Oreochromis niloticus: one gene and its partners. The protein of the gene in region 3 purifies or fractionates together with the protein of the main gene of each other region. This does not show direct contact. Links are inferred from orthologs where the notes say so. Each region holds a gene or a part of one and is shown on either strand. Other genes may lie near its edges.

Region 1 (3,752 bases), on a different chromosome or scaffold from region 3:
TGGATTAGAATTGGGGTCAAACTCCATTTCTGAGGGGATCGACTGCAAAAGAAATGTATCATGAGATTGAATTACAAACAACATGAATACTACAAAGTGCACTAAACGACAACTAATTAAACACAATTGTAAATATCTTGCTGACTCACGTGGCGAGAGATGAAGCAGGACATGGGACCTATTTCTGTGAACAAACCGACCTGTAAGAATTACAGACATATTTAGAAACATTTCAAAAGGAAGACAAAACACTATTCTTTTTCAGCAATTCATGACTTCATTTTTTAAAACTGGACACATTTAGTTTAACACTTTGGCTGTTAAAGTGATTCAGAAAATTCAGAAGTACATTTTTTTTTATATTTCTACATCTTATAGGATGGCTGGAATACAGGATATAGAGACAAGAGAAGGGAGAGGTGGTGGCAGGTTTTATGCCAAAGCATATCAATTCGATTTAAGTCCAGACTTTCACTATGCCACTCCAAAACTCTTATTTTAGCTTTTTAACCATCCAGAGGTGTACTTGTTTTGACTCATTGTCCTGCTGCATAATCCAAGTCACAGAGAGCCTCAATGCACAGACAGCTGAATGCATTTTTCCATTTGTAGTTAAACACTCTCAATGTTGTTCAGTGGAGTCCCAAAACCTTAGAAATGGCTTTGTAACTCTTCCCAGACTGACATGTGTCATTGACTTTGTTTCTCATCTGTTCTTGAGTTTCTTTAGTGTGTTGCTTTTTGAGATCTTTTAGCCTACATCACTTTGTCAGACCAGTCCTACTTCAATTCAATTCAGTTTTATTTATCTAGTGCCAAACCACAACCACAGCTGCCTCAAGGCGCTTTATATTGTAAGGTAAAAAACTAACAAACATGGAAATCCCCAACAAGTTAAGTGAGTTCTTGAGTCAACAGGTTTGACAGTGATCAGCCCTGGGTGTGGATAGTGAAACTGAACTCAACTTTCCAAAAAAAATAAAAAATTCCAAAATGATTAGTCATATTTAATGTAAGATTTAAAATGTAGCAGGAATTATTTTTCACACAGGGCCAACTAGGTTTTGGATAGCTTTTTTCCCCTTAATAAATGAATTCATTTAACACTGCATTTTGTATTTACTAAAGTTAAAACCCTCTCTCTGATATAATTTTTTTTTGATGATCATCAAATATGAAAAAAACAACAACAAAAAAAACAAACACAAACAAAAAACTAAGAAATCAGAAAGGGGGCAAAAACTTTCCTACAGCATGGTATGAACACTGTGTTAGGGCTTTAAGACTCTAAACCTGCCCCTCACCTTGTTAACCTGAGTGACCACTGCATCCACAACTTCTCCTTTAAACGGACGGAAGACAATGGCCTTGTATTTGACTGGATAGAGGACAAAACCTCTGCCTGGTTGGATTACGCCAGCTCCGATGTTGTCAATGGTGGTAACTGCAATGACGAAGCCATACCTGCAAGACAGAATTAAACAAATTATTTAAATTGCAAAACAACCTCCATCTGTGGCCCAGTTTTCCAGAAGCCAAAGGTCAAATTTCAACCTCTTTTTAGCCTTTGATTTAAAGTATTTTTAAGTCAAACACAAGAGTCACTCACTTGCCAGTGCAGGTCCCCTCGACCTCTGTGAAGAGCTTCTGCTTCACGGTGTTCAGCAGATTTGGACCAAAATATCTCGGATGTAGTAAGATTTCGTGCTCCAAAGAAATCTGTGAAAACAAGGCTTCTCTAAATTAGCTTGCCGTGGACAACGTCACTGCTCAAGCTATTCTGCTGCCGTTCAAAAACAAGAGAAAAAACACTGGTATCATCTCCACACAACTATAAAAGCGCAACAGTGATAACAGCTTTTAAGGGTATATGATAAAGTTTTACAAAGCTACAGTAGCTACAAGCACGCCAGCCAAACTCTTATCAACAACAGAACCAGACTGCTGTTAGCGATTATATACGGAGAGCAATACAAATACTTACATGGTAAAACATTTCGGTCTGTTTACGTTTAGTCCCAACTCAAAAATCGTTTTATTATATTTTCCAAAAGATGTTTTTTCGTGTATTGAATGAAAACCAGCCGCTCGTTTGTTCTTGACAAAGTCACTTCCGAGTCAGAGGACGATGTTGGGATATGGGATGTTGTTGCCCTCAGTTCTGTCTCTCAGGAGCGTGTCGCTTTTCTTTCCTAATTTTGGTAGACACGAAAGTCAGCTCTAATAATCACAAGTTAAGTTAAATAATAAATATTAATAACAATTTAAATACTTTATCTGCTTTATCTAAGAATCGCTTAATTAACTATTTAAACGACCCACAGAAATCAGGCTAACCTTTTCAATCCAGTCACAGACTGACCCCTGTCGGTGAGGAGGACTAGTGCGTGAGGGTGTGGACGTGCAGCAGGCGTGCCTCCATACTGGGTTTTGATTGGTTTGTTTTCCACGAGACTATTAACATCTGACATATAAACGAAGCAAAAACGAGTTATTTGCTAACACGGTAGCTAATTAATGGTCAACACTGCTTCAGTTATTGTGTAATGTGACGCACTGTGGAGTCGAATAGGTGACTGAAAGCTGGATAGGTAAATATCCCTGTTTAACTTAGCGACATTAGCTCTAACTTTGTGCCTCTTAAGGATTAGTCTGACTTCCTTAAAAACCTCTTCGCCTGGATACAGCAGTAGCTGACTGACGATCAGATTAATCTCACACCAGCCTCCAGTTTCTGCTGACTGACATGGCGAGTAACCTCGTCTCGAAGCTGTTCCGCCCTCCTCTGACACAGCTTGTAAGTTGTTCCATACTTTTCCACTTTGTAGGCTATCTCCAGCGCACTTTATGGGTGATTTTATGTGACTGCGCTGTCCTCCCTGCAGGTGTGTCTCCGTTCAGGTTGCTTGTTTCGGGGGAAGGGGGCGGCGGCAGCAGCGACGGGCACCAGATCTTCCTCCAGTGGCTCTCCACCAGAGAAAATCAGCCGATACCCAATTCCTTACAAGAAAGATCTGCCGTATGATATAGTGGAGCTTATGGAGGAAGTGGAATCAAAGGTTTACATATGAGGCGTTCAAGGTCTTTAAGTCTGCTGAACTTGATTCTGCTCCCCATTAAACCTGTGCTTCCTTACAGGGAGGATTTTTGCCCAATGTCTTTAAAGTGCTGTCTCACAGGCCGGCAGAGTTCAGAGCCTTCTTTGCATACTACAACGAACTGATGAACAAGGACACAGGTGTGCTTGTGTGCTGTATGTCTTTGTTTTAGCAGCAGGTGCGTTTTGTCTGAGATTCAATTGCATGGACAAACTCGGGGAGGTCCAGGGCCTTTCTGTGTGGTGTTTGGATCTTCTCTCCGGGTACTCCGGCTTCTAAGACACCCTTTTAGTGAGGTTAGGTTAATTGGTGAGTCTAAATTGGACAAAGTGTGGATAGATGGATGTTAGATTTCCTGACTCCATGTAGTCTAGACCTGTTTATTAATTCTTCCTTTCAGAAAAGGATTTCTAAAATTCAAAACCTCCATCGTTTGCAAAACTACACATGTAAATCCTGTCACATTCCAGGATATCTATAGCACTCTGGGTTGTGTTTGGTATGCAGGCTTAGCAGCTACCTTTAAAAAGAATGCATTATATTGCCTGGTATGAATGAATGTATCCAACACACGTAAAAATGAGGTCTTTTCATACTTGCTTGCACTGCAGGGGATTGATGATGAAATCACAACTGGAAGATATTTGTGAAATA
Region 2 (3,752 bases), on a different chromosome or scaffold from region 3:
CCCACAACTCCACCCAGTGCTTCCTGCAGAAGTTCTCTGATGACTCTGCAATAGTCGGCCTCATCACTGATGGGGACGACAAGGAGTACAGAGGACTGACTCAGGACTTTGTGGACTGGTGCCAGCAGAACTACCTCCAGATCAATGCCAGTAAAACCAAGGAGCTGGTGGTAGACTTCCGCAGGCACAAACATCCTCCACTGCAACCACTGAACATCCAAGGTATGGACATCGAGGCTGTGGACAGCTACAGGTACCTTGGTGTTCATCTGAACAACAAACTGGACTGGACTCATAACTCAGACGCCCTCTACAGGAAAGGGCAGAGCAGGCTGTACCTGCTGCGGAGACTCAGGTCGTTTGGAGTGGAGGGCCCACTCCTGAAGACCTTCTATGACTCTGTGGTGGCCTCAGCCATCTTCTATGGTGTGGTCTGCTGGGGCGGCAGCATCTCTGCTGGGGACAGGAAGAGACTGAACAGGCTGATCCGCAGGGCCAGCTCTGTTCTAGGATGCCCTCTGGACCCAGTGGAGGTGGTGAGTGACAGGAGAATGGTGGCTAAGCTGTCATCCCTGTTGGACAACATCTCCCACCCCATGCAGGAGACTGTGACAGCACTGAGCAGCTCCTTCAGTGGCTGCGGCACCCACGGTGTGGGATGGAGAGATTTCGCAGGTCTTTCCTCCCCACTGCTGTCAGACTCCACAACAAAGACTTCAACTGATCAAACACACACATCCACACATGTGCAATAACACTAAGTGCAATAATCTTTTCTGGCATCGTTGTATTTTTACTCAGTTGTATATAGCATTTGTATTCTATTTTTATCTTATTGTATATTTTATTCTATTTTATCTTATTCTACTGTATACAGTATTTTATTTTATTCTATTATGTACAGTTGTGTACAGTATTTATTCTTATTGTATTCTAATTTTTGCTTCGTAACTTTTGCACTGTCCACTTCCTGCTGTGACAAAACAAATTTCCCACGTGTGGGACTAATAAAGGTTATCTTATCTTATCTTAGGACATCACCCCGGCGCCGTCAGGCATTCATATAAACACGTGGGGGGGATTCAAACTCCCGAGAATCATTTCTGAACTCCTGCAATGAAATCTGAACAAAACGGGCCTGCATCGATTTTTTTACTTTGATTTTTGGGGTGTGTTTGACTTTAGCCCAGTGCAGGCGGATCATTTCAATTTCCATTATTCCTAACCTATTACCCTCATTGAGATCTGCGGATGAAGATGGATGGATGGATGGAGATCTGCTGTGTTTTAAGGTGTTCCTTTAATATTTTGGAGTGTTGTGCATCACAACCACACACAGGAAGCCGCTGGGGTCCCTCACAGTCCTTAAAACATTAACTGCATTTAGCTGCAAATAAGCAGCTACATACTGACCGGTGATTCTGTCGCTTCTTCTCGATGAACTGCATCACCTGAAGAAAACAAACACAAAGTCAGGATCCGAATGGTTTGTCTGGTATGGACATTCGTACCGCGAGATGTTGAGATTTGTGAGTCACCTGATCAAAACGGGTGGCGAACAGGTTGAGTGACGTCACGATGCCACCGTTGGGTCCGAGGCCGTACTGCTTCATCACCTCCTTGTAGTTCACCGTGTCCCTGATGTCTGAAAGCAAGAGGACAGACAGAGAAAACTAACAGACGCTGAAGATGACGTGGAGCTAAAAGTCTTTCCGGCTGTGTTTGAATCACAAAAACACGTGAAGGTTATTTGCTTTCGCTGTGATGTGTAATGCAAAGATTAAACGCACTTCTGCAAATCCAGCATCCCACATTGAGTTTTAAGTTCTTGTTTAAATAAGTAGCATCCAACAAACAGATGGATCCTACCAATGTTTGCAGGGAAAGGGACCTCGTGGACGGCGGGGTCCAGGTTGATGACATATGGAGGAGCTTTGAGGGAATGCAGGTGAGCCGTCAGCCTCTGCAGGAAACAGAAAAGTACTCAGATTACTCGTGACTGCGGCTCACTTCATAACAGGCAGACAAACAGGAAACACTGTTTATACGGAGGAAATGTTCTGAGGAAGAGGAGGGAAGCTGAAGATGTTAACATCAGCCGCTTAGAAAATCTTCATCTCTGAGCTCAGACTGAAGGAGAAGCAAACATCAGTCACAGGGTGTCATTGGTTTAATTTAGTGACTTTAGTAAGCTATTTTAACATTTATTGGGCTAAATACAATTTAGTAAAGTTTGACTCTACTCTATATTCTATTGTTTTCTATTTAAATGTGCTAATACTATGTAATCCATTCCATGCTGACCTTACTTATATTCTATTGAGCTTTTATGCTTTCTCTAAGTTATTTTATTAAAGGCTGTTTCATGTTGCAGGATAACTAACCTTCTGCTGCCTCTCCTACCTGACTGAAATCAAACTGATTTTATTTGATGCCAATGGGTTTGTGCGCAGTTTGGGGGCTTCGTGTGGTCCTCGGTGTGCCACAGAAAGCTGGTTGGTACTTGAGTTTTAGCTGGAATTAAATAATAAAAAAAAAAGCTCTTCCTCCTCCTCTGATGTAAACCTGCTCACAAACCTGTACCTGTCGCTGCTCGTTTATTTACCTTCCGGTCTCTCTGAAGAAGCTAACTCATGCTGCTAACTGCGTTAGCCGCTAAGGGACCGGGACTCACCTGGACGAAGGTGGTTTTCCCGGAGCCCGCCATGCCGAGCACGATGAGACACACGGGTTTGTCCCCGACAGCAGCTCCCGGGACCCCGCTGCCACCTGCCGTCTCCGGGAAAGCCGCATCAGTGCCGGGACACTCCGCCGCCGCTGCCATGATGCTGGAGAGATATTATAGTAACCGGCTGCCGTCCACACGCAGCCGCTGTCGTAAAATGGAAACGCGGTGTTCAAAACGAAAGCCAGAGGGCAGCAGTGTGTTTAATAAACCATGATGAAAACACAAGGAAACTTTATTAGAATATTTTACAGATACATTAATATAAATAAAAAACACATGACTGCAGAGAGTAAAATATTTATGCTGTTCACGGGTCTTAAAAAATAGGTATTTTTTTCTTATGTTTTGTGGATTAGAAACATTACTTTTAGTACATTTTAGTAGTTTATAATTTATTAGTAACGCAGTATATAAATAACTAATCATTTCTATATTATATATATTTCCGTATTTTAAAAGAATATTGACTTTACTAGTTTTATGTTTTGCAAATATTTTAAGTAATTAATTTTAATATACCTAACTGGAATTTTCACATGTATCACTAGCAGTCCCTTAAAAAAAATTACAAACCAATAAATACTTATTTTTCTCATTATAGTCTAGAAATATTCTGAAATTTTACTTTCCTTGAATAAAACTCTAAAAGAAGTCAATTCTTCGTCAAATGAAAATTGCTAGAAGTGTGGTGGATGATTTTCACAATAAGACCTCTGTCGTGTCTCCTCCATCAGTGGATAAAACTTCAATGTAATAAACATTTGCATAAAAACAGATTTTAAATGTGTAGATTTTAAATTTTGCCACATGAATGAATGTGAACGAGGTGAAACAGCCAGCCTTTTCAGTGATTTTATTGCAAATGAAAAATGTGAGCATACATGTAATTAAAGCTTCAGTGCAGATTAAAAGTACAATACACCATCCATAAGCAAAAGCCTCATACTAATCAGCTGATAACACAGTCTATCTCAGACAAGAGCACCAGCCATTCAATATAATAATCAAAGTTAAGAATGAGAAA
Region 3 (3,752 bases):
AAGGTTTAATTTGAAAGTGATGTCCTTTAAATGTGATGCTTTTGATCCAGAGAATTCAACCATTTAGGAAACACCAGTTGAAAAAACTGTGGCTTTAGTTTTTGTTACTCAGAAGGACATTTTAGAAAATGTAAAAGCCAATAATAATAATAATAACAACAACAACAATAGTAATACATTTTATTAATAGGGCTCTTTCAAAACACTCAAGGATGCTTTAAAAGCAAATAAATAAAAAAACAAATACTGACTTTCCAAATGCATATAATATTACATATTACACTATCAATTTAAGATAATCTGTAACAGGACCTTTATTGGTGAGTCTTATAAGCTACACTTATTTTGTAACGTGCAAATCCTTCATGAAGCAGGGCTGTACAGGTGTGCCAGAATTTGCATTTTGGTTGATATTTGACTCGTATTTTGTCAAACACACCTGTTGTACTAACATGTAATTTGCTTAGATCCAGGGAAAAACCATTGTTTTAACAGGAATACAGTGCATTTTATTATCCGCTGTATTATGCAGTCAAATAGCCATGTAAATTCAAATATCTGTACAAACACAAAGATTTGATGGCATGCACACAATATGCAGACTTTTAACAGAAAGGTATTTGTTAATATATCCATATGAGCCAGGAAGTGGGATAAATTCTCTCTGTTTCGTCTTTTAATGACATATTGCAGTCAGTTTAATAACTGAGCTGCATGAGTAATAGATCCAAGTTAAAGCAATCATAGCTTGAGAACGGGCACAAGAAAAATCTACTCATGGCAAAAGGTTTATGAGTAAGACTCTGACCTTTACCAACGTGACTCCTCTCTGTGTAATTCTTCCTCTCAGCCTTCCAAAAACGTGTAAAGCAGCCATTATTAATGTACTCTTATGCTTCTTTATTATTACATAAAGTGAATTGCAAACAGCTAAGTATAGACTGAAATTGGGCAACGTTTTGGTTAATCATTTGGTACACAAAGAAAAAAATAGTACGACATTTAACTATAGTCCTATATAACAACTGTTTGTCATGTCTTTGTGTTGAACTGGTGCAATAAAACAGAAGTGTTCGGGTCTTACAGCTTTTAAAAGATCAGCCGGTCAAACTGCAAAGTGGAAGAGAGGCATTTTGGACATAACATAACAAAACAATGGCCTGCTTGGCCTATAACTAAAGCTCCAATCATGTTCTCCTCTTCCCGTGTTTTTGGCCTATCAATCTAATCAAAATATTGATCTGACAGTGTAAAATTGCCTGTTTTAATGCATTTGAACTGCAGTAAAAAATAAACAAAAATACACAACTTTAGTGAATTACTTTCAGTGCCCCTTATAGCCTTATTACATGTTCTAATTTATATATATTTTTTCTAAATCATCAAAAATACTGAGACATATTTCTCAAAATTCTCGTGAAGGTATAGATGATACTGAGTGTCTTTAAAAAATTCTGTGTTATTTAAGCAGTGGCGATATGAACAAAATAGCCTTCATCCCCGGATAAAGATGATGATGATGATGCCCGGTTCTGTTTGCGTCACTACCATGCGACGCGAACATCGAGGTGAAAGTGCAAGCTGCCATTTTTTGAAAGAAGTCTTTTTGATGAGTTAGGCGACCAAAGCCAAAGTGTGAGTTTCGCCGTTAGCGCTTCGTCGTTGGGTTTTTTATGCTGGTGGGTTGACACGTATTAATCCGGCGTGTTACAGAAGCTCTGTGTATTCAGGGTCTGTTTGGAGAGCAGGCTAGCACAGGGCTGCACTGCTCTGCAGATGGCTGCTTAGCTCGGTTGGCTAACGTTAGCTGGTGCTGTAAACAAACACTGGAGTGAGTGAAGAAGCAGCTGCTGATAAAGGAGCTCATCTTCATCGCAGGCTTGCTTTAGCGGATTTGGTCGATAATTCAGGAAGCTGGGAGGAAGGTAACGTTTGGGAGGAGCGGGAAGCAGTTTGATGCTACCTGTCTGTAAGTTAGCAGCACAACTTCAGTTTTGATGACAGTGCGGGTCTCTCCAAAATAGCTCGGGGCTCAGTCGCGTTAGAGCTGGTCGGAGTCGGTCCGGTCACAAGGGAAGCGCACACTCACTCACCGGCATGTCGTCCTTCTCTGAGTCCGCCCTGGAGAAGAAGCTGTCGGAGCTGAGCAGCTCGCAGCAGAGCGTCCAGACTCTGTCTCTGTGGATCATCCACCACCGCAAACACTCGGCCCTCATCGTCAAAGTGTGGCACAGAGAGCTGAAGAAAGGTGAGATCTGACTGCCCCCGCTGAAACCCCCCCCCACACACACACACACACACACACACACACACACACATACACACATACACACATTTGTGTTGTATGTTGCAGCCAAAGAGAGAGCTGGTAACTTAAACAAGTAAAGGACACTGTACATGCATTAATACATGCATTTCTTTCTAAGCCATGACATAGGCACAGACTGTAAACTCATTTTACGCTGTGAGCCACGTACAGCACACTGCAAAGCCCCTTTCTGTCAGTGCAAAGAAGTTTAACTGTGCATTTAATCCATGGCATTATCTTAGTTTCAGGAAATAAATGTGTAGGATGACTTCTGGTATCTTACAGCCCAGTCTGTCCTGTACTGTTTTGTTTTTGTTTGTTTTTTTGTTAATAGAAAATAGCCTTTTTTAAACTGTGGACCTATTGTAAAAAAACATAAACTGTTATAGTGCATTGTGGAAAAAAAAACTATTTTTCTCTCAGTTAATTGTTTATCTGTTGCTTAATTACTTTGGTGCAGTATGAACAGTAATGGGGGAGGTCTTTCTCAGTAGGAAAACCTATAAACCACATATTATGCACCTTTCTACATTTTCCAAAGCTGTCCAGTGGGCTGAATTGGAATCTGTGCTAGGCTGATTCTGATCCGTGGGAATTATGTTTGACACCCCTGCCCTAAGACCTTATAGATGGTCAGCTTGCATTGGTGTGAAAGAATAGAAATGCTACTAAATCAAGTTTTATTGCGACTAACAGTGTATTTTTCCTAATTCTTATGCTGTAAGTAAAGGAGATGGGCATGATGAAGGGAAAATATGCCAATTAAAACTCAAACTGCAACTCAAACTCAAAATAATTTGAATGTGAGAAACTGATAATCACTCTGTGAATTTTCCTTGTTAATTTTGTTAAAGCTAATGTTTTAAATGAGATATTTTTCATGTATCTTGCAGCTAAAAGCAGCAGGAAGCTGACATTCCTGTATCTGGCTAATGATGTCATCCAGAACAGCAAGAAGAAAGGCCCCGAGTTCACCAAAGACTTTGAGTCTGTGCTCGTCGATGCCTGCTCCCATGTTGCCAGGTATATTTTAATGGTGACCACCGTGTTCTCTGAGTCAGCTCCAAATTAGACTCTCCTGAATGTAGTAAATGTGTGTGAGTCTGTGTGGGGAAGTAGATGCATGGGAAATAATTTGTTTGAATTGTGGTTTTGCTATGCTTTTCTATTAAGCACAGCAGATCCTATCTGGACCTCTGCAGCCCCGATTATCTTTTGTCATACATGTCATAAAAACTCTGGATGTGCTTTGATCTTTTTATAGCCTTCCTGTACGTCTTTAAATTTTAAATTTTTATGTAACAAGTTGTTATTCCCTTATTGTGTGCTGAACTCTGTTGTTCCTCTCGTCGCCCTGCAGTGATGCAGACGAGAACTGTAAAAAGCACATGGAAAGACTGTTGAACATCTGGAAGGAGAGGAACCTCTACAGAAGCGACTTCAT

Evidence for each region.
Region 1: the proteins of rprd1b (region 3) and polr2g purify together in Homo sapiens (affinity purification with mass spectrometry; 3 studies listed by BioGRID and IntAct, counting the BioPlex papers as one, with this or other methods). This does not show direct contact. The link is inferred for Oreochromis niloticus from reciprocal best matches to the Homo sapiens genes RPRD1B and POLR2G.
Region 2: the proteins of rprd1b (region 3) and gpn1 purify together in Homo sapiens (affinity purification with mass spectrometry; 3 studies listed by BioGRID and IntAct, counting the BioPlex papers as one, with this or other methods). This does not show direct contact. The link is inferred for Oreochromis niloticus from reciprocal best matches to the Homo sapiens genes RPRD1B and GPN1.

What each region holds. Positions count from the first base shown.
Region 1 is NC_031966.2:22,184,147-22,187,898, forward strand, and holds the start of polr2g (DNA-directed RNA polymerase II subunit RPB7), read right to left. Parts: upstream 2,464-3,752; 5' UTR 2,338-2,463; intron 2,193-2,337; 5' UTR 1,997-2,192; coding exon 1,985-1,996; intron 1,720-1,984; coding exon 1,610-1,719; intron 1,465-1,609; coding exon 1,305-1,464; intron 201-1,304; coding exon 150-200; intron 43-149; coding exon 1-42. Other genes in the region: uncharacterized protein si:ch211-175m2.5, read left to right, coding at 2,747-2,797, 2,886-3,059, 3,139-3,238. UniProt on the Homo sapiens protein: Core component of RNA polymerase II (Pol II), a DNA-dependent RNA polymerase which synthesizes mRNA precursors and many functional non-coding RNAs using the four ribonucleoside triphosphates as substrates.
Region 2 is NC_031965.2:38,255,528-38,259,279, forward strand, and holds the start of gpn1 (GPN-loop GTPase 1), read right to left. Parts: upstream 2,865-3,752; 5' UTR 2,825-2,864; coding exon 2,675-2,824; intron 1,964-2,674; coding exon 1,870-1,963; intron 1,646-1,869; coding exon 1,539-1,645; intron 1,452-1,538; coding exon 1,414-1,451; intron 1-1,413. UniProt on the Homo sapiens protein: Small GTPase required for proper nuclear import of RNA polymerase II (RNAPII). May act at an RNAP assembly step prior to nuclear import.
Region 3 is NC_031984.2:24,341,801-24,345,552, forward strand, and holds the start of rprd1b (regulation of nuclear pre-mRNA domain-containing protein 1B), read left to right. Parts: upstream 1-1,520; 5' UTR 1,521-1,925; intron 1,926-2,024; 5' UTR 2,025-2,097; coding exon 2,098-2,248; intron 2,249-3,201; coding exon 3,202-3,331; intron 3,332-3,668; coding exon 3,669-3,752. UniProt on the Homo sapiens protein: Interacts with phosphorylated C-terminal heptapeptide repeat domain (CTD) of the largest RNA polymerase II subunit POLR2A, and participates in dephosphorylation of the CTD by RPAP2. Transcriptional regulator which enhances expression of CCND1.